2 linked regions of the Lepisosteus oculatus genome follow. The protein of the gene in region 2 purifies or fractionates together with the protein of the main gene of each other region. This does not show direct contact. Links are inferred from orthologs where the notes say so. Each region holds a gene or a part of one and is shown on either strand. Other genes may lie near its edges.

The links.
Region 1: the proteins of lrch3 (region 2) and sugt1 purify together in Homo sapiens (co-immunoprecipitation; 3 studies listed by BioGRID and IntAct, counting the BioPlex papers as one, with this or other methods). This does not show direct contact. The link is inferred for Lepisosteus oculatus from reciprocal best matches to the Homo sapiens genes LRCH3 and SUGT1.

Annotation. Positions count from the first base shown.
Region 1 is NC_090710.1:16,033,544-16,049,082, reverse strand, and holds the start of sugt1 (protein SGT1 homolog), read left to right. Parts: upstream 1-8,130; 5' UTR 8,131-8,244; coding exon 8,245-8,258; intron 8,259-8,365; coding exon 8,366-8,414; intron 8,415-10,995; coding exon 10,996-11,086; intron 11,087-11,420; coding exon 11,421-11,490; intron 11,491-12,931; coding exon 12,932-13,002; intron 13,003-13,092; coding exon 13,093-13,146; intron 13,147-13,673; coding exon 13,674-13,702; intron 13,703-15,539. Other genes in the region: ETS-related transcription factor Elf-1, read left to right, coding at 907-1,501. UniProt on the Homo sapiens protein: May play a role in ubiquitination and subsequent proteasomal degradation of target proteins.
Region 2 is NC_090708.1:16,898,770-16,914,092, reverse strand, and holds the start of lrch3 (DISP complex protein LRCH3), read left to right. Parts: upstream 1-9,659; 5' UTR 9,660-9,696; coding exon 9,697-9,919; intron 9,920-15,323. Other genes in the region: rubcn (run domain Beclin-1-interacting and cysteine-rich domain-containing protein), read right to left, coding at 786-820; UAP56-interacting factor, read left to right, coding at 2,687-2,789, 3,719-3,853, 4,210-4,358, 5,030-5,193, 5,356-5,443, 5,664-5,719, 5,988-6,062, 7,050-7,176 and 1 more. UniProt on the Homo sapiens protein: As part of the DISP complex, may regulate the association of septins with actin and thereby regulate the actin cytoskeleton.

The sequences.
Region 1 (15,539 bases), on a different chromosome or scaffold from region 2:
ATTATAATTCCTTCTCTCTGGGCTTTCAGTTTTCCTTACTACAGTACCTGATAAAAAAACACAGTATTTCTTCTGTCTTGATACTGCCACTTCTTTATTGGTACAACTAAAAAGCTGAATTCTTAAACTGTTTCTGTTTTGGCTGGTCTTCCTGCTTTCCTGAAATCTCAGGTGTGTAGTTCTTGAGATCAACATGAGGACTGCAAGTGTTGTTGAAACTGTAGTAAAGCACAATACATTCTGATGACCAGAGAAGACACTCCTGGCATCAACAATTTGCGTGCATTCGCCTGGACTTTACTTAATAAAATTCACTGCAAAGTATCTTTTAGAAAATTTGGGTTACAGCCATTTTTACCACCAAGTTGTTTTGAAATTATTTACAACTTTTTATGCTGCTCAAGCTGCAGAGAACCTCCAGAAAAAGGATGGTATTGTACACTTTGCAGGCAGTGATACGGATTCTGATACTGTTCTCTGATCCACTGTCCTAGTGAAAATACCTAACACCCTGCTGCCTTTCTCTGCATAAGTGGACGTTAAATGAGCAAGGCTCAAGTAAACGTTAACTTTTTTTCATCTCAGAAGATTGTAAGTTGTTTTGAATATTTTACTTCAGTATGACCTTTGGGAATATTCTATTTTGGGTAGATCAGAATGAGTACTGAGCTGACTCATCTAACTCATTGTGTGAGGGAAAGTCAATTGTATATTTTTAGTACTACCATCACCAGATTGTTTTTTGTTTTGTTTTGCATGTGGCTTTTATATATTGACATCGACAGGTTAAAGCAGTTTCGTTTCCAAAGGCACCTCAAAAGAAAGACCGTTATCACACACATACACTGCAAACCGAGTTTTTATAAGTGCATTTTATAAGTGCATTTTCTTTTTTTTTTTATTCAGCAGCACAAACAACGAGACTCAGTTTCCGGTATTTATTGCTCCAGGAAACCAGCAACTTCACACGGTGACCTTACAGCCATTGTCTCTGGCCACAGTCCTGGGCAGTAAGGACACCTCAGTAACCTTGGCTTCATCACCCAAGTTCTTTCTTCAGACTGTGCCCTCTTCCCAGCCAATGGCAGTGCTCATGGAAAATGTTGCAGTGACTTCTCCAAAAACGACATCGCCTTCTTCCGTATTGGCTGACGGCAGTATCTCCAATCAACAAGACGTTGCTGCCCATTTGCAAGGAGATAACGAGACGATTCCCTTGCCTTCCTCTCCAACAGTGGGTTCTGCAACATCTGTAGTGACGTTTGCAAGTGGTGGTCAGCAGCTTGTGTCTCATCCTCCTGGGACAGTTATTGCTTCTGTCATCACAGCACCAGACACCAAGCAGAGTGTTTCTCAGAGACAGGAGACTCCGAACACTTCACCGGAAAGACTCGAGCAGGCAGAGATCCAACTGGATCAACACTTCAGGGTGGTGGTGGTGAATGATGGTTGGGTGGAATCAGAGGCAAGAAGCCATGACACTGAATGTGATTCTGGTTGAAGTCCGATGTTCTGTCGTTTAAAGTACTTTAAAGTAGAGAACTCAAAGAGATGCTGTTTGATTTTTCTACTGCTTTCAGCACTTACGATCACTAAAATACTTTTTGGCACTTGGGTATTCTGTGTGACAACACGCATTGAGTTGCAGAACTGTCTAGGGTTTTTACAGGTGTGAGTTTCAAAAGTATAATGCCTTTCTCAAATATAATCTGTTAAACAAACTAGAAAAAAATGAAATAACAAATGCTTCATTGTTGTGTGTTGGTATTCTTTAAGGCTTGTTCAGTTATCTAACCAGTTGTAAATTTGGATGCAAACCTGTTTAAAACCTTTTGGTTTGATTTTACTACTGCTTTAGTTTTTTTTAATAGATTTTGCCTCTTTGAAATCTAGGCAAAGTACCATCCAAACATTTTTTTCCTCTTTTTGTGAAAGAAAAGTACCCAATCTTATCGATTCAAATAAAGCCTTCAAAATTTTTGTACATTTCAAATATTTTTGAAAATTCACAAAATTATCAAATCTACAAATTTAAGAAGTGTACATAATTATAAATTCCTCTAATTTATATTTATAAAATTACTGTTGCCTTTTGTGTAACTTTTTTAATGCAATGCTTAAATTCATCTTATTTTATTAAACTAATATTTTGACAATTGAAATTCTAAAAGCCTTTTGCAGTTAGAATATTATACTCTTTAAAAATGTAAATATTGTACAGGACATTTGACTTGATATAGTTTTACTTGTTGTGCATTCTAATTTTTATATACAACAGTTCTTGTTAAACTGAAATAATTCTAAACATCAGAGTGGATTTGTATTTATTAAATACATTTTTAATTTTGAAAAATTGTGTTTTGTACCTGTGAAAACTATTATATGTGAGTTTGAGATGTGCTCTTCATGCTTAATCTTCATGCTATTTTTTTTCCCTTTTTAATAGTCTTGAAGTGTTTGTCCTTAGGATTTACTTTATAAAATGTAAATATAGAAACATTAGTACATTTTTAATATTTAATTTTGCTCTTGGTTACTAACAGTTTAACTACAGTATATAATGAAGTATTCTGCAAAAAGGCTACTGAAAACCCAAGAGGTTTTTAAGTTTTAAAGTTTAGATATAAATTTGAGCATTGAGTATACTACTTCTCTTTGAGCTGCTGCAGTTGTTTTTGACAAATATAAAAAACTTGACAAATACTATTGGAATGACAATTCGACCAATGTCATATGATCAGATGCAATGAAAACTGACCTTTTTTAGACATTTCTATCACAGTTATAATTGGTTTAAAAAAGATGAAGCTCATATTGAGAAAAGTCTTGTGCCAACTGAAATATTGTGGGGTATGTGTAATGTTTTGTGTTTGTGTTGCTTGGTCCTGGAGCCCTTGTCAAGATAAGGGAAATTATGAACTCCAGTAAGTACCAAAACATTTTGGCCAGACTCTGGTTCATTCTGCAAAAGACGATCAAGGTTTGCTGAATGCAATCATTTCAGCATACATTTATATCCAAATCGGATGAAAAAAGAATGGTTAACCGCAACTCAATCTAATTGAGCATTTCAATTGAAGATCACAGTTCACTAACAAAAGTGGAAGGGTCTGGAGGATTCAAGGAATGTCTACATCAAATAATATTCATAAATATCTCAATCTCAATATCTCAATACCTTTTTTCACACTGCAGGTTGTGTCCAGTCAGGGTAAAACCTGCCAGAACAAGATTTATCACAGGGGTGTAAATGTAACCCTTGTCTTTTCTGGACTTTAATTATGACAAATATAACTTTGCTCTTTGCAGTTCTATTGAAAAGTATGCAACTAATAATATTTTTAGAATTTTAAAGCAAGAAGGGTTATTCAGTCTGTAGGTCTTTCTGTTATTATCTATTGTTTCTCTTAAAAATTGAAAGGCAGTGTATTTGTCATCAGCTGGGGGTCTTCCATACAAGTTACTGGCTTGCACTGTGTGTGGCCACTGTAGGAACCAATGTGTGCTGTACATCTGTACATAAATGCTGAACATACATTGTGTTTTGCAGCTTTTTGCAGTGTTGTTGGATTGTGTCCCATTCCTCTTGTTCACCCAGGACAATCTTCAATACTGTTAATGGTCATTCATTGTCAGGTGTGGTCATTTTTAACATAATTGGTTTCATTCTACACATCACAGTCCAAAAGTCCATTTTTTTATACTAAAAAATAATGCAGATACTGTTAATAAGGATGATCTTTTTTATTAGTTTTAAACAAAATAACTAAATTTCAGTGGAAGAAGGGAACAGAATATTTCTTGCATAAAGAACGAAATAACCATCCATCCATTTTCTAACCTCTGAATCCAGTGGATTGCATCCTGGACAGGATGCAAGAACATCACGGAGCACACAGAGACACACACACACACATGTGAACATAAAGACTCCACACAGACCGCACCCTAGGTTTGGACTGAACTCAGGGCCCCAGCGCTGCACGGCAGTAATGCTGACCACTGAGTGAAAAGATTAAACCAGGTTTGCACAACTTCAAACGCTTCAGTAACCAAGGACAGATTTCCTCGAGCTAATGGATTCCAGAATTTTGGAAAGCAGATGTTCAACAAATCAATGGGTCAACGAACCCCATGAACGGTATTATTCTCAAAGGCTTCGAATTTGCTAGAAAGAAGCTCTGTCCTAGTGTCAACTCGTCTCTTCCTCTTACGAGGGTGATTCCTCCCTCCCTTCTTATTCCTTCCTTTTTTTGTGCTCTCTGTCATGCTGCAATTATCCTCTTTGAGGCTCACTTCCTATGTACAGTGTATCGTGTCGTCATGTGAAGACTGTCTTACTGTCCTCCTTAAGAATGGTCCAGTTACTTTTAAATATTAACAATCACTGTTAAATAGTAATGATCTAATATTTTTGACTTAATGATTTAACAGTCTAGTTTTGGCCTAAGTTAACAATACCACACTTTTAATCATTTCAATATTGGATCATTGTTGACTGCCTCTAGGATCTACTGTAGGAGAGCTACAAATATGCTCAGGACAATCCCTATTGTATTGAACGTTCAGATCAGGGTAATTCTGCTGGGAAGAACAAATGTCCAGTTAACCATCAAACATGCAACAGCGCACTAATCAGAGCACCTCTTACCCATTCCTTACAGTATATACACCTCATTTGTCCATGTAATGTCAATTGATAGGCTACAAACCAGCGCAAAGGCAAGGGTGAAAAAAGTTAGGCACCAAAAATATACTTTCTATTTATTGCTTTGGTCAGAACAGACTTGTCTCTCATCAGTACTTCGTGGTTCAAGAATCAGAATGAAGCATTGCACTAATAAAACAATTCCCAATTTTTTCTTTATACTCCTCTGCCCTTGCATTCTGCTTTTAAAATGTACTTTTACTGGGTTTAGGAAAAACAACAAAAAACGAATCTAAAATCTTAACCTTACTTACAGTCTGCACATTCATGATAATGTGCAAGAATGTGTTTTTTGGCAGACTGCCGGTGCACCTATACACTGACAATATCTTGTATATTTTGAAATAGGTGATGTCTGTTTACCAATGCAGATCAATAATGCATTCCAATTATTTTTTAGTTCTTAATTCTTCTAGATATTTTTTTCTTGAAAAACATTTGACTTTAGCACAGACTATTAATTTTAGAAAAATAAAACCGGCAAAATATAGATTCTTGATCTAAAAAATGTGTTGGTTCAGAGCTGTGCGTGTTATGGAATGATTTTTTAAATTACAAACATGCATTACATCGTTTTTTTTCAAAGTTCTACAGAAGAAATGTGAGGTCTTTGCAGAATCTTTTGCAGTACCTTGATCGATTCTGCCATCTAGTGAAATATTTGCAGAATACATAAAATGTACACGTCAATTACACCTGTTTTTTTTTTCATACGCTGGTTTCTGGAATTATACGCAGTACAAACTTGTAGGCGTTTCAGAAAGCAAAGGTATATCTGGCGCCAAGAAGGCGAAGCATTTACAAGTTCCCTCTGGATGCATTTGGAAAACTGTCCCTGGTGTGTGTGTTTTTGTCTGACTTGGGATGGACTGGCACCTTTCCTAAAGTAGAAAATAGATGGGTGGAGACATTTTTATTCTTTGTCCATAGGTACTGTAGCGCCCTCGCTGGCTTTGCGGCCGAAGAGCGCCCGGCTGGGTGCGCGGCGAGGGGCAGGACGGGAGTAGTGGTGGCCAGGGCGGGAACTAGGAGAGCGGCCAGGGCGGCTGACCAATGGCGGAACCGGTGTAAAAGTTCGCGAGATCGCCCGGACTCATGTAAATAGTTTCCCTGGTTTTGCGTCTCATGTACCCAATTACCACCCTATCCCACTGTATCTGTACCCTAGTGTGTTGTAGCTTGTTGTCGATGACACTTGGGCTTGCTGTGCTGGATGCACGTCCGACTAATTAAAAGCGTCGTATTTTCAGTTAACAAAAGCCTGATCCCCTGTCTCTATCCCCGCTGAACCTGTCGCACTACAATATTTTGTTTCTGTAGAAGTATGAAAATGATTTAGTAGATACCATAGAATGTTACCATATCTTATGGTTCTATTGCAATGTACGGAAAACAGCTTACTAGCTGCGTTAAGTGGTTAGCGCACAAGTACGTACTAAATCGGTAACTTATTTTTAATTAACTCTTTATTACCTTTTCCAAATAAAAATTGAATTCCAGCAAAGCATGGGAATCATGTCTCAGTTGCATGTTGCTACTGAAGTGGATGTGTATATAACGTCTTTAATCTGATCCTTATATATGAAAAAATCAAAATCTCTACAGGTCCAGAAAACGCACATATGCGCCCCAAAGGTATCTTCATTTGCGACGTTTTTTTTCCCAGAATACAACTGGAGCTATTCTGACGAAATCATCTTGCTCGTAACACAGTGGGCTGAAACGTCAAGAAAGTAATGCTAATCTGTAACGCTAATTAGTCTGTAACGACTGCTTTTAAACTTGCACATTTTAAAAGACTTCTGGCTGCTTCTAGAAACTTCCCATTTAACCTTAGATCCTTGAATTCAGTCGCGTTAGTACTACGGAGACACCAGGTGGCAGGACAATATAGTGCGTTGCATCCTTCTGCAACTGTGTCTTAGATGTGTCCCTTTTTTTCATTAATACAGCGGTAGGTTGCATTCTCCCGGCGCAGATTTCCGCAGTCCTGCACAGCTCTGCGTTCTTCCAGGGCTGCGGACGGATTTCACCACAGGTCCGTGCAGATCCTACGCGGCACAGCGCAGTTTTGCAAACCAGCTCTGTGAGAGACCCGCAGCCACTGTAAACCAATGGGGTGACGCCGAGGACCAAAATGTTTTTGCTGTTCAATTATTTCAGTATTTTCTCACTCTTACTGTTGTTATTCACTGGTTTGCCTATGGCATCTACAAGCACATAAATTGCTTTCGTTAAAATAATATACATTTACTGTATTTTACCGGTTGTCATTTTCCTCCCTGCGGCGTATTACGGTTTTTAGCATAGATACCAACACAAACTAGATGTGCCCTTCAATCTGGCAGTTAGGTTCAATACAGCCGCCATCTTACGATGGTCAAACCAGGCGGCTCCTCAATGTCAGCTTTGAAAATACTGCAAGAGTTTGGAGTATACGGCTGTAGTTTTGGGGGGCAAGTAAACTGACAAAGCACAGGGGGTAACTACATTATTGAATAATCTGTACTCTGTAATTAAATCTCAAAGTGATAGATCTCGTTTAGCTTGCAGTGATAGGCTCCGGTTACCCCCGCGACCCCGTCTTGCATAAAACGGTCAGAAAATGGATGGATAAATATATTTTTGCCCAACACGTTAGTTATACGATAATTATTAGTTTCGTTTTTGGGTCCAGCAAACTCTATTACGTTTTGCTGGCTCTACAGCCGTATTCCTCATTACACTCTTAGCAATACGAAGCAGGTGTCAACATAAAGAACAATTCTATTTAGCTGTTTACTGTTACAGATTCTTTAATTTACAGTTTCCAGTAACGAGAAACCCGCATATTCCCGCTAAGAGTTGCCTCAACTCAGACCCTATCCGGAAAACAGGGTACAAAATCAACGTACGGAAGCACTCGTTTTTTTCAACATTATTTTAAACCGATTGGCATCTTAATAGTTTTATGGATTGTTTTTGAACTTTACTCGTGTTTAGCAAATTCAATCTCATTTACTTAACGTCCAATAATACTATTGTTTCATAACATTCTGAACATATTAAGTGTGACCATGCATGTAATACCCTAGTTGAGCATGACTGTTATATAATGTGTACGTATGCCATTATCATTCGTATTCGCGTTATCGATTATTCTGTTTTGTCAGTCACAATACCACTAGCCCACACAGAATTTTGAAACTTTTGTCTCTTAGAAACAGTAGCACATCTAGAGCTTTACTGTCCTAGTTACTAGTTTAATTAAAAGACAAATATTCATGTTAACTGTTTACGTTGTAAAAAAAGGCACATGCCCACCTGCTGACCTTTCTGGGCAGCAACGAACTAGTTGCAGTTCGTTATAGTTTGGCCATACTATTGCATTATGGGATACCTATAGTTTTTGAGGAAAAGCGATTTCTTGCGTCGCTCTGTGTGACGTCACACAGATCGCAGGGTGGATATCTATGGTTGTTTTCACGTCTTTTTCCATCTGAGCAGCCCAGCAGCCCCATCCAGAACGTTCTGGACGTCACTTCGGGCAGGACTTCATGGCAGACGAAAGGCAAGTGCAGTGTACATATTTCACTACAACATTCAGTTAAATTAGCCGAGTAACGAGTAGGTTGAGAGTAGCCGATTTTCTCGTTAACTGGTGTTTCTGTGTTGCAGGAGCTTCCCTGACAGCCTCATTGACGAGGATCCTCAGAAAGCTCTAGAGGTAAATAGCGTCCCTGGGTTGCTGTGCCTGTTTCCTTCCGTGGTCTTTCTCTTAGGTACTCAATTCGATTCTTTACGGTATTATTTTATACAGTCGGAATAAGCGTAGCCAATTTACTATCCATTTAGTAATAGATTTGGGCCTTTCTGTGTCAAAATGGTACTTCTAAACAGTTGTCTGCCCAACGATTTTCTCCGTAATGTTTTCACTTTTCCGCATATAGCTAAACTTTTTTTTCTTTGTAACATTACTCAATGTCCCAGAAAACGTGTAAACCTACATCCGTTTTAAATTGTCGTATTGATTCCTTTGGATTCGTTACATGACATTCCAGATCATCCTATCTTGCTAGATTCAGTTCAGTTCAAGATGTCAATGTAGTATTTAAGCGTGCTCCTCAAACCGTCCAGTCACTTGATATCTCCTTGTCCCCCAGCCAGTACAACCGGTCTGAATAAATAGTGCTTATTGGGCACATTGGAGTCAATTTAATCTGAAAACCTCTGTGGGCTATGTACTTTACATTGGCATTGGAAATATTTTAATATTGTATTCTACATACATGTGTATATATAAATGTGTGGATAAAAAAAAAGTTACAGTAGGAGAGTTAAGATACCAAAGGGAAAACGTTATGAGCCTTTCGTGATGATTTCCAAGTGGAATTTAAAATCATTGCCCTCTCCTTCAGTTTGTATCGGGAAAGACCCATAAATTTGAACTGAAGGTTCCATTAATTTAATTTGGATCTGTGATGGGTTTGAGCATTTTGCTGGATATTGGAATGAGAACTTTTTTAAACCAACCATTTTTGTGTGCTAGAATGTCTATAAATAATGTGCATTGGCACTTTGACAACTCGTTAAATCATATGCTACTACCATACCTTGGTCCTGTATTTTCTAAATACTCTCAGACATTTGCCTTTTTCTGTATGAAACACATTGTTCACCACATGTAGGTCAGTGATAGCTCTTTCAGGTTTCGCACTCATCCTTGTAGCTAATAATGGTGATTTAATCATCTTCTTCCAACATGCATTAACCTTCAGATAATTAAAAAAAGGTGTCAGAAATTCGTTAACTACAGAGTTTATTTTTGTTCTACACGTTCAGGGTCACAGATAATGGGAAAAGAGCCTCCTGACGATAGAAATGATAGACTTTAGCAATGCGTTTTATTTCTTTTTGTTCTGTTCATAGTTTGCATGTAATAGTAATGGGGACTCCCCTCCACCACCACCAATGTGCAGCATCCACCTGGATGATGCGACAGCAGCCATAGTGCGCCAGAACACTCACCACACATCAGCTATCAGTGGGGAGGAGAGCAGAGTAATGTAGTCAATTCATAGATGGGGATTATTAGGAAGCCATGATTGGTAAGGGCCAATAGGAACTTTGGCCAGGGCGCTGGGGTAACTTATCAGTAACTTATCATACATATACAGCCATAAAGGAAGTATTATTCATCAAATTCTGTTGATACATCTGCACTATACACATCTAAATAAGTGCACATTTCTCCAAACAAAGTCAGCCCTCTTTCCTGTTATTAGTTTATTAATAGGTTGTGTATACATCCCTGATTTCTTGTAAAAAAAAAAGTTATGAGATGTAAATGGCATGATAAGGTCAGCTGATTTTTTTTCACATCCACAAACTTGGACGTTAGATGTGAAATCTGTTTGCACCTGTTCTTCGCTGGGTCTCCAGTCTGTTGCGCTGATGTTTTTCTGTTTTGCTTGAGTTACTGAATACTTGCAACTGTACCAATTCAGAAACTTTTTCCCCTCTTATGTTAGATGAGTTTTAAAATATAGCGTTGTACCTAGGTTGTGGTTAAGCCTTAATTACCCCCACAATAAATTATATTGCATTTTACTGTAAATATCAATGTGTACTTTGTTGACATTTTTCTTACATTTTCTAATATACTGTACATACCTTAAGAAATGTCCTATGCTGAAAAACTGAAGGAATTAACCCTTTTCAGTCTTGAACTGAAAAGATTATGCGGGTACCCGATAATATGAACCAGGGGACACAAATGGAAACTATGTGGAAGTGCTTTTGGTTTCAAGAACAAGAGGCAAATCTTTACCCAAAGAGCTGTGGGAGTGTGGAACAAGCTGCCCAGCCATGTCGATGATGCCCATACTCTGGCTTGTTTGGGAAATGGATGAGTAGATTGAATCGTTGGATCCAGTTAGCTGCTTACTACTAAATAGACTAGATGGGCAAAATGGGCCTATTCCTGTTTGTAATCTTTTATTTTCATATTTTCAGTGACTAGTTTTTGTTTTTAAGTCACGTGTGAAAATTCACAATTGTTCTGAGGCTGATCTTGTTGCCTATAAGCTTTCTGAGCACCAGTCTTACTCAGTCAGTTGTCCTGTATGGCTTGGGGTGTCCTGCTCATACTAATTTTAATAACATAGCACAGACACAAATCTAGGGTTTCTGATTAACTTGCGCTTCTATTCAGTACTTTTACCAGTTGAGCCTTTTGGAAGCATCTGAGGTTAAGCTCTGCATATGTTTTTGTATGTCTCGGCACATTCATTTGTATTTTCTTCCAGGAGCTGAATGGGGTATTGGAACGAACATCAGATAATGCAGAATGGTACTGTCAGAGATCCTACACCCACCTTCTGCTACAAAATTACAGCAGTAAGTAAATCTACTACATCCAAGTCCTCAATATTTGTCAGTAATGGTGCCTGTCACCTAGTAGTGATTTGTCAACTAGTGGTGGTGTTAAGATGTGGGCATGTGTTGAAACCACTTGTGTGCTTTGACCAAAGATGCAACAAGAAATGTAAGTTATTCAGAAGAGGATGCATGCTGTGGCAAAAGTGGGAGGTAAAAATGTTTACCACACTGGTATCTTATTGTGTCCGTATTGTAACATTCCACTGTAAGAATAATTCTGTATGGAATTTGTGGGTGTATTAACATTTTGAATTTGTGCCATAAAATCTTTTCTATATCTTACTGTTTGTAGGTGCTCTTGAAGATGCAAAGAAGGCTCTTGACCTGAAGCCAAACCTTGCCCTAGCCTATCTCAGAGCAGGGTACGTGGAAACATTTTGTGTGTTGGTACTTCAGATGTTCCTTGTATTAGATGCTTTATAAATTAATTCTACTGAAAACCACAAAATGCTAAAGATGAGACACTGAATCTTGTGTGATTCTTTATAATATGCACTTTATTTTAGGCCAGTTGTAAACCACAAATACATAGCTGAATGTCTTTAGGATCTTCAATGGGGACCAAAAAATTTTGATTTTACAAGTGGAACTATTCCCATAAGAAATAATGGAAATAAGGGTTACTGGAGACCAGGAGGACATAAATATTCCCCAGAGGACATTGAGTGTGACATTTTTCCCATAAGGGACCATGACATGATGACATAATTCTAGAGTAGTGTACATTCACATTTTTTGTGAATACATTTTTGTGGTTTGTGAGCAACTGCGTACGATACTGAGATCAAGCAGTATTAGGTGCATGATGCTGCACAGGCTGAAAGTGGCATCATGTTTTGTGTATGTACAGCACACACAAAAATGAAAGCAACATCCAACTTTTATATACAGCAAAATAATACATACATTTACATTAAATGTTGCAGATGTGTTAAATAAGGACATCTAATACTGTAAAATTACTTTAATCATCTAGTAACTCTGTCTATATTTTAACTTATCTAGCAACATAGTGTGCTTGTGCTTCTCGCTGTTTCTTTGACTTCTTTGTTAGGGCACATTGCCTTCAGGGGACGTAAAGTCGAGACATAAAAAAGGTAAAATTACATAAAAATCTCAGCCAGAATACAGTAATGTATAAAAATCATTATAGATATAAATTACAAAACAATTTAGATTTTACTAGAAATTGGCCATTTTGTACACTCTGGACTTTATGGAGCAGTTTAAGTCCTTTGGACATGAAGTCGGGGAATGTTTATGCCCATGGTTACAGAAACTCAATAGTGGAAAAAGTAGGGAGACATTAAATGGGGATCTTCCTGTATTAACAGTGGCCTGGACGGTGTGGTTTTTTAGGGACTTGGATCAGTTCAGAAATAAAAATATCCAGGCGTTATGTTAATATTTTCTGCTTCGTTCTTCTTTTTCTCTTCTTATCTGATGAGAGGTGTTCCATTAGTTACTGTATATGTGATTGTTCCAACAAGAAAAATGATGAACACATATCCCAAAGCAGAGCTAAGATGCTTTGTCCATCTCTATGGTTTTGCTTTAATAAGTGTTTTGAAACAATAGTAACCACATAATATGCAGGAAACAGTTTAAGAGGAAATATCAGAAAATTGTATAAAAATGTCAACTGAGAAACAATATACCTGGGTAAAGAATATAATCTATTTTGAACTGGAATTGTAACTATGTATTAGTACCTTACACACATTTGGTTTGGAAAACTTTAGGCAGTTTTACACAATGCCTAAGCTACAGGTTTGCTATATATTTTCTTGTTTTATTTTATAGAGCTGCAGAGTACCATTTAAAAAACTACGAATCTTCATATGAGGCATTCAAATCAGGACAGAAGTTAGATGGTGAGTATTTCAGTTTTATATTAAACAGCAGGTTAGTTTTATGTGCTTATGGTTTTGTGACTTTCTATGTCTTTGCACACATTACCACAGAATCTGACAGCACCTTTGGGATTTGGATTAAAAGATGTGAAGAAAACATGGATTGTAAGTAACATCTGATTAAATTTAGTTTTAAGTTTATTTTCTAGGCTGTTTTATAAATCTCAAGAATAGTTAAAATTTAGTCATTTAGTATATGATTAAGCTTCTGAAAGTTTGTGCAGTTATTTGTTGAATGGCTGTCATACATAAGTATTCATTAAAGAGCACATGGACAATATGCCTCAGGCTGATGAAGTACCCTGGTTTTTTTTTAAATCTTAACAACATGGGATATGAGTTACAAAGCCTGATAGAATGTTTTATCTATAAATACATGCATATTGGTTTATTAAACTTTAGTAGCAGGTGTAAAATTAGTAATTATATTTGGTGTTGTTGATGGGTATAATTCGTAGTATTTTGGTCACTGTGATGTGTGGGTGTATTATCCAGCAGAAGTAGTATAAATATTAAAAATATTGGTAGCTGAAATCTTAAAGTTTCTACTTCTGGGTTGATAAAGTTTCAATCATTGTTTAACTCAGTTAATGGCAAAATTCATGATCACCAACTTATTTTGTTACTTGCAGTGAATAAACAGAATGGATCATCCAACACGGTACGTTGTTTTATCTCATTGTGGAAGATGATACTGATATCACGGCTTCAGGGACTTTCACATGTAAACCACTTCAGACATGCAAGGAAAGGCTTTATACCCAGTAGTTTTACAGAACAAATCAAAACATGTCTGACATAAGAAACCCAACCAAAGCTTCAGAGAAGGTAGCTACCACCACTTTTCAACCTGCTCCTATTTCTATACTTACTCTGGACTACTGAGTACCCAGTGCTCAACACATGCCAATCTGCACTAACAGGTTCAATCAGTTATACAGTTTCTGTAGATGTCAATAACACTACAGTTAAATGTTTTTGAGTAAAATTTGTGCCAGAGAATTCTTAAGATTTATTTTGCAGACCCATTAAGCTTTGAAGGTTTAGAACTCAAGATGGAGATCTAATGTTGTATAATAGGTGATTAAAAGAGGGAAGGTATACTGTTTCTTTGCCAACAGACGTTGGTTGTAATCTGCATGGATGTTCGAGGGGAACTGGTCTGCACTGCATTTTGTCAAGACCCTGCTGCTGCATGAAAATCTGGTTTAGAGTAAATTGCTTGATATCACTTTTACTATGCAAATACAATTTGAATTAGGATTAATCAAATTTAATGTTCGTGTTTTGTGGCAGTATGAGCAAAAGGTTGAATAATAGTAGTAACTTCTCAGTGCGTTTTACAGAAAAGTAAAGAAAAATGAAAACGGCAACAAGGATACGTGTTAATATTGGCACAAAGAAACAGATTGGTTTATAATGTGATAGCAGATGCAAAAGGGCAGACATAAATTAAATAAGAGCCTTTATAAAGAAGATGGTTTTGGGTCTGCCTTTGAAGGCGTTGAGGGAAGGTGACTATTTGATATCATTGGGTGTAGAATTCCAGAGCTCTGGGCCATAGCAAGAGATGTCTTTGTCACCCTTAGAACGTAGATCTTGGGGGACAGACAGGAGACCAGAGTCAAACAAAGGCTTCAAGGTAGAGAGTAGGAAAATGACTTGGATAAATATTGGGGTGCCAAGCCATATAGAGCCTCACAGGTGAGCATGAGGATTTTGAAGTCAACACAAAACCTGATAGGAAGCCAAGGGCTCCAGGACAGAAGAATTGTGATCCTTTGTATGTATTCTGGATGCTGAGTTTTGGACATACAGTACTGAAATTAGTTAAGAATGGATTTAGATACACCAGCGAGTAGGTTGTTGCAGTAATTGATTCTAGAAAAGACAAATGTGTTGACCAGCTTTTCAGCAACAGTCAGAGACGACATAAGACATAATCCAACGATATTTCTGAGATGGAAGAATGTTGTAGTGGGAATTATATTTACATACAAACAAATACAGTGGAATTTCCGCATGTTTAGGTTGTAATGCTGTAACCAGTAGGAGCCATATGTATATTTACCATTTATAATAAAGTGCAAAGAAGAATAGATTCTCTAAACAATTGTATTGTGTACTTATATAGCATATCTTTTAAAATAAAATGTAGAATTACTTGATTTTGGCATGCTTATGCTTTACTAGTAAATAAATTCTTCTAAATAAACTAAAAAATAAAAGTGCTAGTGTCCCCTAATAAAAGAGGGGTGAATAAAAGTGAAGCAGGTGTTGAACAGTTTTAATTTATTTTTCAGATTTGTTATGAGTTCTTCTTTAAGATTTTACTTAAAGATCACAGAGGTTTTTTTGCAACCTCGGCAAATGAAATCTTTGGCATTGCTTTGTAGAAACATACGACTAGATTTTGTGTATTAGATCCGTTCTCATGTAACATAACATTTTTCAATCCTAGAAACACAGCTACTGTATATACTGTATGTTGCTGATGC
Region 2 (15,323 bases):
CATCCTGAATCACTTAACAGGTCCACAGTCACAGCGATAAAGGAGGTGCTGGTTTTGTCAGGGTGACAGCACAACTGTGGGTCAGGAAATACCAGTTCGGTCAATAAACCGATCAGCAGTAAGGAAGATGCCGGAGCTTTGACACATTCTAAGGCATTTAGTGGCACTGCAGTCTTACAGGGTGACTAACCATACGGCTTGTGGGGATGCTAGGCGAGTACTCTTCCTTCACAACCACCTGGGGCGTCAATGCAGTACAGGATACTGCCCAGTAAGGGCGACTGGGACACACTGGTGACCTCCTCCTGCCTTGGCCAAGTAACGCACAGAGCTGACGGACAGCACAGCGACACACGGCCAGCCGATGATGTTACAGCTTCCCGCTAGTGTCGGCAGAGCAAAAGACAGTTCCAGCCTGCGTTGGTCCACATCGTCCAGGGGAAACGGCTGTCAGCAGTCCATCTCCCCCAGCGCCTCGGTTCTCTTCCCAGATTTCTCCCCGGTAATGCAATTACTCCTCCCGACAGCTGCGCACCCGGCTTTAATGGCACGATCATCTGTGCCGGTGCGTGTTCAAAGGGCATCTGCAGCCCACACAAGCCCGCTTTCCCCGAGCCTATTAATAGCTCAGTGAACGCCAGCCCACACTCAACACACACGGCTGGGGCAAAAAAACAAACACCCGGACCGCACCCTCACAGTCCCCTGTCTCAAACCCGCGTTTATTCCGAAGACTGTTCTAGAACCCCGCAGAACCGCAGGTCCGGCTGTGGATGGTCACTCACCTGCGGTCCCCGGCCTCCGCCTCCTGGATCTCCATGCTGATGTACCGGTGCTGCGGCACGAAGCGCTGGGACTGGGGAAACCGAGCCAGAGTACCCCTCTACCTGGCTTCTCGGACTGCGCGGTGCCTTCGCCTTCAGCCGCAATCCAATCAGCCCCGGACTTCAGGGTCAAGAATGTAACGCAAAACGACAAGACTAGCTCCAACCCCTCCTCTATCTCACCGCCGACTTCCTTCTTCCGGTTGGGGCGGGAGGAAAGTAGAACTACAAAACCCAGAGGTCTCAGCGACATGGACGGCTTAATTTAATTTGTTTTGAGAAAAGCTATCAGCACCAACACGGCTAGTGATATTCCCTTCATTTGTGGTTTGGACTCCTGTCTGTAGGTTATACATTTTATAAATACTTCTTCATTGTATTGGTATAACGCCTATTGTCCTTAAGGATCTCAAAAGATTTTATATATAGGGGACCTCTTCAGCCAGCATTAACAACTGAAGTGCAGTCCCCTTATAAAAGAGGATTAAATTGAATTAAAAAGGTAGTTTCAGGAGGGCACCCCTTTTCTTACAAATTACATAATGGGTGAGTACAAAAAACTGGCTAAGGATGTGACAACAGGAGTGATAGAGACCCATTAGGCCAACAATTCACACAAATAATTCTATATGAACTCTGAAACAGTAAAGGCCAAAGATCCTACAAGGCATCGGTGTTGGTAACATAGTGGAATTCTAACAAAATGTATTTACTATTTTGTTACCCTCTTTTTAAAAAAAAAAAGATACACGCACCAGAAAAAATGCATTGTTGGCAATGTTTAACGCACCAAAGGCTTAATTTAAAAAAAAAGCTTGATGAAACGTCCTTTTACGCGAGGATCCTTTCGCAGTTGTATGTGCATACACCGCAGGCTATCGTGCAATACGCCTTTTTATCCATTACAAGGGGATGAACACACAATCATAAATTATTTACATATAAACACATGGAACATGTCGCCAGCAGCCATATCACCCTGCAGCTCTCAACGGGCTACCCACTGAAGCTAAGCAGGGTTGAGCCTGGCCAGTACCTGCATGGGAGACCTCCTGGGAAGCTATGGTTGCTGCTGGAAGTGGTGTTAGTGGGGCCAGCGGGGGTCCTAATGCAGTATAGTGGCGGGGACACTGTACTGTAATGGCGCTGTCTTTCAGATCAGACGTTAAACCGAGGTCCTGACTCTCATTGGTCATTAAAGACTCCCCAGGCATTTCTCAGAAAGAGTAGGGAGTTATCCCGGTGTCCAGGGGGCCAAATTTCCCCCCTCGGCCTTTACCGTGGCTCCAAATTGTCCCCATGTATGATCGCCCTGCGATGGACTGGCGCCCTGTCCTGTCCAGGGTGTACCCTGCCTTGCGCAAGTTGCTTGCTGGGTAGGCTCTGGCTTCCCCCAACACCGCATGGTATAAAGAGGTTTGGTGGATGACATGACATATGGAACATTACTGGGAGACAGGCTCACTGTTCCTCAGGCTGTGACAGGAGGTCACGTCCTGGGCTGCCAGTTCAGCTGAGTTCCCTCCTCCCTCTCCCAGTAGGATTGGGAGTTGTTGTGATTCTGGCAGGTGAGGGAATTCTGGGATTAGATTTATAAATTTAGGGAAGAGTGTTTGTCGAATCCCAGAATATCTATCACAGTGGAGCATCTCTGTCTCTCCCCGCTGGCAGTGGGAGCACAGCCTGTCCTCTCAGAAAGCTGTCGTCTCCTGTCATTGGCTGTGACGTGTGCTGCGCGCCTGCGCAGAGCAGGTTTCGTGTCTGAATGGACACGGGGAGAAGAAGGAGGTGGGGGTTAGGCTGCACTGTGCCATCCAGTCCAAAATACAGACGTATACACAAAGGCCTGGCACAGCCCTGACATGAGCGGTATCGGGTTCAAGTCTGGCGGTGTCCCTGCCTTGAGGAATGGCCCGGGGACCAGCGGCGGCTCTGACGGCCTGGATAAGATTGACATGTCGCTAGGTAAGGCCGCACGGAGCCGGGGAGTCCAGGTGGGGAGGCAGCCCGGTTTAGAGCTCTCAGACAGCAGCGCTGCGGTAAACACCGGGGGGATGGGGATAACGGTACTACTTTCGGGACTGTACGGAAAGCTCCAGCCACCGAGAGGCTTGTCGTTAAAGAGCTTGCAGTAACAGCGGTGTGTGTGTGGCTGTCCGGTTTGTGTGAGTTGTGTAGTGTGGCAGTCCAATAGGACAGGTTTCACGGGTCACCCTTAAATCACCAGTTGGCAGGGGCTTCGACCAGTTTCGGTTCAACCACTTTTAAGTGGGTTGTTGAACAGTTCAGAGTTCTAGTCAATAGTTCAGAGATCACGACAGAAAGAAACAACAACGCTCAATACCGAGAAGCTCAGGATGTTGGCTCTATTAACTCAGAAATGGCCAATTATGTATTTATTCAAACCTCATTTGTATAGCGCCTAATACCCTAAGGGTCTGAAAAAACGTCCTATCTGTAGGGGACCCCTTCACCAGCCCTTATAGTTATAGAGGGGTCTACATACAACACGTTTCCCTAAGCGGTGTGCATACAGCGTGCATTTCAGTCTAGTTTTCTGCATAGTAAAGTCTGTGCGAGTTGTCTGGGTACAGCTTTCTGGTCTTCTACAGAGTGCAGTTTATATATGCATAGTCTCCTTCTTCAGTGTACAGTGATGGTCTATACAGAGTACAGCGTTTCTCATAGTCTGAATATAGTGAACAGTATACCTACACATAGTACGTTCACTGTACATGTCAATTTACCTTGTCCATGATGTTAGAAAGTCTGTCTGCAGCGTGGGCAGTCAGTCTGTGCGTGCAATGCATGTCTCTTTCCCATCCTCTCTCAGGCACTCTTTATAACCTCGCACTCCTCCTCTCCTTGTCATCCTCCCCTCCCACCCCCCGCAGATGATATCATCCGACTGAACAGGAAGGAGCAGAGGACCCAGTGGGCTGGCGCTGGGCCCCGGAGGCCCCGTGTCAATGGCCGGCTCACCCAGGGCTGGCGAGGGCCGGCCTGGGCAGGGGGTCAGCAGCAGAGAGGTAGCTACATGCTGATACCCTGTCGTGTCACACATGTTAATAGACTCGCAGGGAACATACTGGTACTGATGCACTGATAAGCAGGGAAGCATTGTAATTGTTGAGATGCCTCCAAAGCACTTTGAGAAGCCACTTTTAATGGTGCTGTATAAAATAAAGTCTATTAGCAGTGTTGCATTAAACAGTATACCCTTGTTGAAGATTGTCGAAGATGCCTTTGGCGTGTGTTGTCTCAACATTTTTCTGTCTCCCTTCCTTATTTCCTGTCTCTGCCACATCTGTCACCCCCATCTCTTTTTCCTCTCTCTCTCGCTCCTTCTCGTCTGTTTCCTCTCTTGTCCTCTTCCTCCCGGGAGGTGTGGGATACCTGGGGGCTCGAGGCCGGAGGGGGGTGGCCCCCGTTCTCCGCCGGAGGGGTCAAGGTGTTGTTACCGGGTTGGCCGCCCGCAGGAATGCTGTGCTGCTCAAGGGGATCAGCCCCTTGAACCGACCGCCGCTCACACAGGTACGGAGTGAGAGGGTGTGTGTGCAGAGAGAAATGGAAAGAGGGCAGAGCGATCATGTCTTAGAGCTGGGAGGCCGTTTAAGTGCACGTGCATGTCAGCGTGTCTGTGGACAAGTGTATGATGTCAATATAAAGCTGTGTCGGGTGCGATAGGGACTTGGACCATTGTCAAGGCTGGACAGGTTTGAGTTGCTCAGGGTGTGCTTCAGCTGAATCCTGCCTGACGACAGTGAGCTTGGAGATGTGTTTGCCTGCATCGGCCCTCTCCAAGGCGACAGCTGTGCTGTAGGTGGCATGAGACACAGCCTGCTGATCTTTACCTTGAATGTTTCAGAAGGTGCATGCAGTCACCATCTCTGTCCTGTGCATAAGAGAGTCCTTCTGCATGGATGAGTTAATAATGATAATTGGCAATTCCTTATTAAGGTTTCTAACAAGAAAAGTGAATCCAAAATTTTAGATGAAATGGAATTCCTCTGTATATTTGCCTTTGGAAGAAAAGGGCAGTGAATTGAGTGTCTGGTCTGTGTGTGAGTAGGATTATTTTTGTTTATGTGTACGTTAGAAGCTACACTGCTCAGCAGAAATATTATCCTTTCGCTATATCACGTTCATGGCCTCTATGATTCTTTCACACCTCCTCTCTTTTTCTCTGTCCCTGCCTCTGCCAGAGACCACGGCCTCTTCTTCAGCGCAGGGCAGTCCCATACAGACAGACGGATGCCCAGTGGCGAACATACCGGCAGGTGGATTCCCAGCGACAGCCGTATGGACAGGTGGACACACAGAGGAGCCAGGGCCAGCCCCTGCACAGACCCATACAGCTCCGCCGACGGTGAGCAGAGAACCGTGTTAAACAGCCATTAAGCACAGTTGTGTGTTCACCGTCTTCTCAGAAACTCTGTCTTCCTCTCACCCTGTCTCTCTGGCTCAGCTGCTCAATTTTGTGCTTTGTCACTGTGTTCTCTCTCTGATCACCTACTCTCTCTCTCTGCAGGAACATACTCCCCACATGGCCGCCCGCCTCTCACCATGCCCAGAGAGAGGCTCGTCAGGCCACCTTTCTATTCCGCCGTGGCCTAAAGGTACGCAACTCTTTTTCTCCTGCCCTCTCCCCTCTTTTTCCTCCTTCTCTCCCTTACACTCATCCTTAAAACCCCTTCTCCCCCCCTCCCCTCCTCCTCTGCAGGACTTTCTCATGTCAGTGTCGGAAGGCTCCAGAATGAAACACCACTGCAAAAATTGCGTTGAATTCCCCGATATAGTTGTAATTACTTTGTGCCTTTCTGTTTCTTTCTCTCTCAGGTTCAGGCCCAAGTTCAGAACCCTGTCTTGTCCCCAGCAACCCAGAGGACACGGCCGTAAGTCTGCCTCTTCGTCTCATTGCTGGATTTAACAGCAGACACTTGAGCACACGTGCATTAAGTGGAAAGGCTGTGAGTCCTCCCACTGCTTCTCAGTTCTGATTCAGTCATAAAATAATATGAACCAATGTAATGCAGCTCAGATTTGTAAGCCATAGCCAGGTCTCATTCCAGTCTTGTGAATGTCTTGTGAATGTGTGGATCCTGATTGCGTATGCTGTTCTTTCCAGTTCTGTACAATTTGCTGTATTGCCCTGTGCTCTAGGTGGCGCACATCAACCACTAGCGGAGGAATCCTGACCATATCCATTGACAACCCCACTGCCAGAATACCGTCAGAGTGAGTCACAACACTCCATTATGGATGTTGCAATAGTGATCGATAAAGTTTGTTTTTTTTACATTGGAGGCTGTGTTAATACCTGTCCTGGTACAAATATAGTGTGGTTTAAAATCCTGGTTTTCTTCCTCTGGGAAGACAGCAGACCATATACAATGGGCCATGTGATAAGCTCCACTTTTTTAGTTCCAATCCCCTTTTTGCACTTGTTGTAACTCCCGGGTGGGTTTACTAGGTGTTTGGTAACGACACAGTAGAATACTGTCCAAACATAAGGGTAATGAACAAAAGCATTGTATGGCAAGGCCCCAGACTGAAACTTAAGTGGTCACAACTGTGGCTAATTGATGTGCTCATTGCCTGGATTTTAAGACTTGTTAACATTGTCATCTGGAGCTAATGGTGTCTTTGCCTTTAAAATAAACTCAGGAGTACCAACAAGCAGCTCTTCCTCATGCGTCGCGGGTATGAACGGTCTTTATCCCACGCTGAAAGTGAAAAGTGTTCTCTCCTCACTACACTGAAGAAAACGAGCAAAGGGAACTCCTCCTTTAAACCACAGTGTACCTGGCTCCCCTGACTGACATATTTGGCACACAGCAACTGGATCTAATGCCAGTTTGATCTGATTTGAAAACAAGTGTCTCCTTGGATAAAACATTTTGTCTAGAGCATTGTTTAAGAATTTTGATTTTTGTCCCTCCTTGGGGCGCCTGTGGCTGGCGGTTCAAATCCCGTGGCTGGCAGAGCAATCCTACTCCGTTGGGCCCCTGAGCAAAGACCTTAACCCCAACTGCTCCAGGAGCACCGTACAATGTCTGACCCTGCGCTCTGACCCCAAGCTTCTCTCCCTGTCTGTGTGTTTGCGAAAAGACAAATTCCTAATGCAAGAAATTGTATGTGGCTAATAAAGTGATCTGATCTGATCCTTATTGTCACATACACCTTCCCCCTCATGTTACCATCCAGCTTTCTCTCTCTCCACAGCCCCCCCCGAACTCGTGTGCTGCGCCCCCCCCTGCCCCCCACCCCTCTCAAGCAGGAGGAGCCAGAGCTGCGGAAGACCCCCAAGGGTGTGGCACTGCAGTTTGACATTAACAGTGTGGGCAAGCAGGTAATTACGCCCTCCTCCGTGGCCTTTTATCCCTGTTGACACTGTGTTCATGGCAGCTCATGGGGAAGCCCAGGAGACCCTGAGCAGAGACAAACCTCCCTGCCCTGCAGCCCATTGTATGCAGCTGTCTCATGGTTTATTTTTTCACCACCAGGTGTCAGTCTTTCTAATCATCATTTCAGAAGCTCTGATTTTCTGTTGATCTGGGAGGTTGTGTGTGTGCGTTTGGGTGGGACCGTGTTGTATCTGTGTCTGTGACCGTGCAGTTCACCACTGCGTGCCCTCGTGTGTAATTCGTCACTTTGTGCGTGCGTTTGGGTGGAACTGTGTTGTATCTGTGTCTGTGACTGTGGAGTTCATCACTGCGTGCCCTCGTGTGTGATTCGTCACTGTGTACGTGCGTTTGGGTGGAACTGTATTGTATCTGTGTCTGTGACCGTGGAGTTCATCACTGCGTGCCCTCGTGTGTGATTCGTCACTGTGTGTGTGCGTTTGGGTGGAACTGTGTTGTATCTGTGTCTGTGACTGTGGAGTTCATCACTGCGTGCCCTCGTGTGTGATTCGTCACTGTGTGCGTGCGTTTGGGTGGGACTGTGTTGTATCTGTGTCTGTGACCGTGCAGTTCATCTCTGCGTGCCCTCGTGTGTAATCTGTCACTGTGTGTGTGTGTGTGTGTTTGGGTGGGACTGTGTTGTATCTGTGACCGTGCAGTTCATCACTGCATGCCCTTGGATACGCTGGTGCCAGTGTGCTGTTCATGGCTGTGGGCACTGTGCTAACCCTGCTTTCCCCGGGCAGACGGCCATGACCCTGAATGAGCGATTCCGCATCCTGAAGGACCAGCGCTCGGAGGTGGCGCAGAGCAGCAAGAGCAGCCGATTTGTCACCGTGGGATAACAGTATGCCGAGGCAGCCAGTCAGAGAGAGATGCTACTCATAGACCCCTCCCATCCCCCCAGCCAACACTCTCACTCTCAGATGCGCCGGACCCAGGGGGAGAGGCGAGGAGGGGGTGGACAGTCCTGCCCCGGCAGGGAAGCACAGGCCCCCTCTGAGGTCGGGCACCAGACACAGACCCTCCTGTGTGCTTTTGGTTGACTCGTGGGGGCAGGGGCAGAGGAGGGAGGGGATCTGGAAATGAGGAAACGAGAGAGAAAAAGTTGTAAAAACAGAAGATGCTGCAGCTCTCCCTCCCATCGCTGAAAGAGTTTTGGCGTTCCTGTTGGATATAGTTATTCTTACTTGTTGTTTTTTTTTTTGCATTGATCCTGTTATTCTCATATTTGATATTTGTTACTGTGTACGTTCAGGAATGTTTTCGGTGTTCTGAATAGCAAAGGGAAGTTGGCTGAGGACGATGCTCTGACGCACACTCGGTTTGTGTTCTGGGAGGGGGAGGGAGTGGGGGGTGGTGGTCTTCCAGCAGGTGGGGGCATTGAAATTGTGTTGGGTTTTTTTTAGACTTTATCATTTTGAGTTATCTAGATTTTCTTTATCAAAGACAATTCAGAAAAGGGCTGCTTTTATTTTGAAGAGTCTGTGTTTCTTTACAGCATGGAATTACCTACATAACCTGAGGCCCTTCCAGTACACTCCAGATCTCACACTGCCATCACCACCAGCTCCTTCGGCTTCGACTCCATGAGGAATGTCAGCAGTATTGGATTGGTGACTGTGAAGGAAGGGTACACTGGAAGGGCTGCACATGGAGTGTCTTGGCTTTAGAGCAGTGATGGGCAGTTCTGGTCCTCAGGATTTCATTCCGCCTCCAATCATGAAGAACTGATTATTTGCAAAACGAGTTCACCTATTTTATACTTTATGATGTTGCCAATTGGAACATACCTGGAAGCCCTGCAGGACTCCAGAGCTGCCTGTCCCTGGGGCAGAGTAACACGGCTGTTGTTCGACCCCTGCCGGCTAAGTAGTGCCGTTTTCCGAAATGCCAGACTCGGAGTCAAGCAGGTTGGCCTGGTTTTTGCATGGCAACACTAATGTACTTTGGTTTTATAGGAGTGTATTTTATTTTGGTTATGGTTTTGTGACTTTGCTACACCTCGCCCAGCTCTGACATGGGCTTCAGTGTTGTTTTTAATTCTACTTTTGTTGTTTGTGTGTGGATGTTTTTTTTTTTCATGACATTTTTGCTCTGTTATTGGTCTTTATGGAAGATGTTCACATAGACATAAACGTGCAGGGTATTTTCTAAAAAAAAACCAAAATAAATGTTAAAATGTTTAACCATTTCAATGAATTATTTTCTGTAGTCTGTTTTTTCCTGCGCAAATAAATTCATACTATTAAGACTATGCGCCTTGCCCACACTCCGTCAATTCCCTACTCGCTTTCATGTTCAGGCACCACGCATGCTCTATGCCCTAAAGCCGGGCTTTTATACGCATGCTCCTTGCCCACACTAGAATCTCCCCTGCCGGTGGCTTCAGAACGCCCTCAGTTGCTGCGCAGACGCAAAGTATGTTCAGTCCCACCGACTGAGAGACGGTGGGAGTTAGCTCTATAATGGCGGCTGCGGTCTTGCTGTCGGCTGAGGGCCCCGGTCCCGGTGTGCCAGGAGTCCCCGGTAGCGGACCAGGAGTAGCGGGACCCGCCTCCTGGAACCGCTCACTCGACCGAGCCCTGGAAGAGGCTGCAGTAACGGGGTTCCTCAACCTCAGCGGCAGAAAGCTAAAGGAGTTTCCGAGGAGTGCCGCCAACCACGACCTCACGGACACAACCCAGGCCGGTAGGCAGCGCCCGAGGGCCGCTGAGGGATGCTGGAAGAGACCGGGGGGCCGGGAAAACAGTCCGGGCACTCCCTAAATTATAGACCGAGAATGTGCGGCTCTGCGAGCGGTTTGCAGGCGGGGAGAGACGGGGTCTGTGCGCGTTACTGAGCGTCTGCAGTTGCTTGACATGTTCAGTAGCCGCTCCGTCAGACAGCTGTTTTGAGGGATGGTGGAATGGAAAAACAGCTCGGCTCACGCGTGTTATTAGTTACATTGCAATTCGTGGCTGATCATATTATCATGAATTATTAAGAAGAGGTGTGTAGTCGTGGCTGGGAGAGCATTACGGTTCCTTGAGAGCTGTTGTAGCTGTTGTGAAGTTTGTCGGAGTTGGGCTGTGGCGGAGCAATGTGTTCGTTGCCGTGATGATCCACGCAGGACAGCGCCAGTTCGTGGGAGATCCCTGTCTCCCCCACGCATAGAGTAGCGGAATGACTGGAGAACAATCACGATTTTGTCCTTGCCTTGTGGAGTATAAGACACCCCTCCACCCCACTCGGCAGCCGTGAGTCCGCTGTGGAAATAGCCCTCGTGATGTAAACACTACCCACAGCCCTATGGGAGCCGGGAGGTGTGGAGGGTCGTAACACCTAGCGGACTGATATGCATAGATAAGCCTCTCTGGATGTCTTGCTCCATTGCTAATTTGTTTGTGTATGTGACAGGGATAACTTTATTTTGATCAGTTTCTGGCAGTCCCGTTGTGGACACCCCTGTGGAGAGTTTGGGCAGTCCTGGGTGTGGATGTTCGCGGATGGGGTGGGGAGATGACACACAAAAGGCGCACACTGACTTTGTGTAAAACAGGCTTGTATGCTTTCACGCAGAATGACACTGGCTGTGTACACACACCCACACAGTGTGCAGACTGCCGGCCTAGCCCAGGAATCCACCTGTCACACTGTTCAGAGGGACAGTCAGGCTGAGTGAGACAGAAGCACTTTGCTGTTGGCAGCGCTGTGGGATGTTTCTTTGTGCTTAGTAGTGAGTCAGAACGTATTAAATGATGGGAAAGGCTGAGGCAGAGCTGTCCTGGCACACGGTTATGGTGTGTTTTGGGGGGCACTGGAAAACCGACAAAGGAGCTGGCTCTTTTTCACTTGATATATCGGGATTAGAGATCTTTCAATTATTAGGCTGTGCCTTGCAGCATAGAATCTAGTGAGGTGCTCGTTCGTTTCTTCCTCTGAACTTTCTGGAGACAGAAGGGATTTGCGCTGAGATCTGAGGACGGATAGCTTGATCCACAGTCCCCCACTCGATCGGCAATTCATATCAGTAGTGTTAAAGTAATTAATTATAATTGCTTACACTTATATAGCGCTTTTCTGGACACTCCACTCAAAGCTCTTTACAGGTAATGGGGATCCCCTCCACCACCACCAATCTGCAGCATCCACCTGGATGATGCGACGGCAGCCATAGTACGCCAGAACGCTCACCACACATCAGCTATCAGTGGGGAGGAGAGCAGAGTAATGAAGCCAATTTATAGAGGGGGATTATTAGGAGACCATGATTGGTAAGGGCCAATGGGAAATTTGGCTAGGACGCCGGTACAATATATAACAGAGATTGGAGATTATTGAATGTGTGCGTGTGATGATCTGTCAGTGTATGTAGGTCAGTTCTGTGTGTCTAGCGTGGTATTGATCAGAGGGACTGCACAGTTATTCTCATGAACAGCCCTTATCTGTGTAAACTGGCACCTCATCTGACAGGGGGGAGTGTGCTCAGTGTTTCATTTGCTTGTGTGTATTGTTTCTTTTTTTGGGAAGAGAGAGACAAGGTGATATTTGAGGGGGGGGGGAAGAAATGGATTAACATTTCTAAAGTGTGGTAGACATTTCACTCAAATCCCTGCTGCAATAAATTGTTATAATAATAACATGCAGTGCTGCATGTCGGGAACAGGGAGGCGGTCCCTGCAAGGGTGATAAAGGGTTTATCACAAGTCATGTGATGTTCTCAGTTTGTACAGTGGCACGTTTACCGCAAGTAAGGAACTGACAGTGTGGGATTGAAGAAACAACTGTGATTTCATCTCCCTTGCTACAGGCTGCTAGCTTGAGCCAGATCTCACCTGCTGGCGTTGACTCAAAAAAGGAAAGAGGCCTCACGTAGAGGTCGGTGATGCCAGGGAAGGCGAAGGTGTCTGGACTGTAATGAGAGGGGAAAGGCACGAAATTTCCTGGTGCGCGTGCCCCAGGGTGAGCTGCCCGCAGTGCGGGGGCTGAGAGTCTGCACGCACACCGGCTCGTCCCCTTACGAAAAGGGGAAGCGACAAGTCTGTGTACGGCACGGGGCTGGAGTAAAGATACAGCCTCGGACAGTGACTTGGTAATGGGGCTTATTTAAATCCGCAGCAATGGCCTAGTGATATTGATCGCTGCCATAAACGGCACTGTGGCTAGTTTGTGGGTTGAACCCTCCACACTTCCAAAAAGCGAAGCTGTCCATGGTGTTTCGGCATTTACTGCTCAGCTGAGATGTTGGTAGTTGTTATATTCTTTAGCAGAATTTCTTTAGCAGAAAGTCATAACCTCAGCTCCTCTCCCCAGCCGTACACTCTCCGTCTTTGGCTGCTATGCAGACACATCAGGCTCTTAGTCTTACACACACCTGTCATGGAAAGTTGATTTTGTGTTGTGGAAAAAATATTCATTAGGCTGTTTTACCTAGCAATACAGATAAGATTCTGAAAATCTCTCTGGGGGCGTACAAGGAGAAGCTGCTTTAAGTGACTCAGGGTTAGACATCAGCTGGCGGCCAGTGGGTCTCCGGTCTTGCTCCCTGGGATCCCAGAGTCAGCTGCCTGCTCGGTCCAGCTGAGCTCTTTCCCTCTTCCATGCCTCTTAGGCCTCAAACAGTTGGAGCTTGCAGGGTACCTGTAATAACATTGGAAATCTGCAGCTGTTTAACAGCTGAGGACTAGTAAAAATATTTTTGCTTGCGGTCCGTACAATTAAGTGTTCGCTTAGGTACCTCAGAGCTAAGCTATGCAAAAAAAACTATCTAGAAGGGCTGTGTAACACAGGTTTGCTAAAAAGCCTGACGGGTCTGGGTCAGCATGTTAACTTTGCAACTTGGGTTAAGGATTGAAATGCTTTTCTGTTTAGTGAAGTTCAGGTCTGCATTTAGCTGTGTTTCCTTGCGTGCCATCCGAGGCAGTAGACAGGGAGCCTGTGCTCAGGATACTCTTTGCTGCCCCCTGCACTGTGGCACTCGAACACAGGCAGCGCTCGGAGGCAGGCTGTAGAAGAGCACCCGCTGCCACACTGCCAACCCACAGCGGAGAGGCTGGTCTGTGGACACGTCCTGCAGATGTGTAATCTACTCAGCCAAGGCACGGGCTCTCGGTGCTTCGTTGTCATTTTACTGACAGGCAATGAAATAAAGCTGTACAGTAGCCCTCGCAAGCACCTCTGGCCTTTATCCTTGTGGCAGATTCTGTCTTTGTACAGTCAAAGCTTTTGTAAGATCCAGCCTTTTTTTTGTGCAAAAATGTCTATCTTGCATATTAGCTGCAAATGAATATTGGTTTTGAAAGAGACAATTGTATTTATTTAAATGAAAACATTGTCTGCATTAACCTGGAGTAAAGCAGGAGGATGAGGGTGTGAAGAAAGCGGTGTAATTCTAGGTTATCAGCAGGAGAGTTGTTCTAGGCAGTCAGGTTAAAGGCCTTGTTTACTGGCTATCTTGTTCATGTTCCCTATCTGTACTCCTGAGTCACCGCGTGTCCAGTTCTAGAACCCTCATGTGCTCCATCCTTCTGCTGAGATGTAAGACTGAGATCCTGTTAAGAGACTCTGCAGCAACTGTTGTTGGGACAGCCTTCACCCTCAAGTCTCTGTCAGTCACGTTTTGAGTGCAATTTATGTGAAATGACTGATTCTGATTGTTCGGCGTCCCTCAGGCCCCCGTCTCTATGCGCTGGTCTCAGGGCAGTTATAGCGTGCTGCCCTCTGTGTGTGCTCGCTGTGACTGCCACACTGCAACAACAGGCCCACTGTCACACAGACGGAGTGTGAGTGGGCGGAGGGTTTGGTTGGTCTGGATTGAGCACATTGTGTTGGGAATCATTAGGACTTGATGAGATACGGAATTGCTTGAAATTGTTGTTGGATTGTTGAGGGGGTGCTATATGGTAGGGTATAGGTCTATCCTGACTTCAGAAGTTAACAGGACAGATGTGAGACTGTTGATAAATCAGGTCTCAGTGGGGAGAAACTAAAACATCCGTTTCACCTGGGGAAAGAGAACTGAGGGATTCTTATCTGTTATACTTTCTCTGAAGCTTTCTTTGTTCGTTTTATTCAAATTCAAAACTATGTTTCAAATGGCAGTTTGCCTCTGATTACTTAACTGGAACAACATGACAGGAAAAACAGGAACATCTGCATATAAACTACAAACTCATTTGTATCTGCTCCTAGTAAACAGAACTAACGGAATTATCGCTTCAGGCATGGTTGTCATTATGCATTCTCTTGCATATTACCTTTTTATCAATATGTCTGTAAATCTGTACTTGCCCTTTAGTCATAAACCAAATAGGTACAAGTTTATAAAAGAGGTGTACACTGGGCCAAAGTTGCAAGTGCATAACTTTTGTTACCTTGTCTGCCAAAAAGTGTACTTCCCCAGGGTTGGCATGGAGAGCTGAAAGTCCCAGAAGTCCCAGAAGAACGTGAAACCTTTTGGTGGCCTGTGCTACAAAACAAACGTAGTATTCTGGTGTGGGGGTCTGGAACAAGCTGCTAAGCCATGTTGTTCAAGCTGGCTTTTTTCAGGAAACAACTAGATCAGATCTTCTGATCAGTTAGCTGCAAGCTTTCTAGCAGGCTAGAAAGGATGAATAACCTCTCTCATTTGGAACTGTACCTATATTCTTATTAGAGTAGGCCTTTGTATAGAACTAGGCAAACAGTTCCTTGTTTGTTCCAGGAGCAGAAGTGGAAACACTGGACTTCTGCTTGAATTGTCAAAGAGTTGGATAAAGGTTAAAGGAACTGCTGTATCATATGTATATAAACCTGTAGAAAATGTCATTAATGTTTGCTCAGATGGTGGAGGTGACCTGCTATCCCTTTATGTAGGACTGTGTTTTGCAATCAAGTTAGGGCTAAACAAATAGGTATACATTTATCTTTGTTTTGTTTGTGATTATACTGTAGATTATAAAGACTGTGGAGATCTTTGTGAAACAAACATTATGCTTTGTAAATAAAGGATTACTTGAATTTCCACCTGTGTAAAAAAAAAACAACTTGAGGTTCTTCTGTACTTGAGGTTAAAGCTGGTAAAGCCCAGCCAAAGGTGTTTAGGAGCCCAGACTGTTACTCTGTATATGGATAG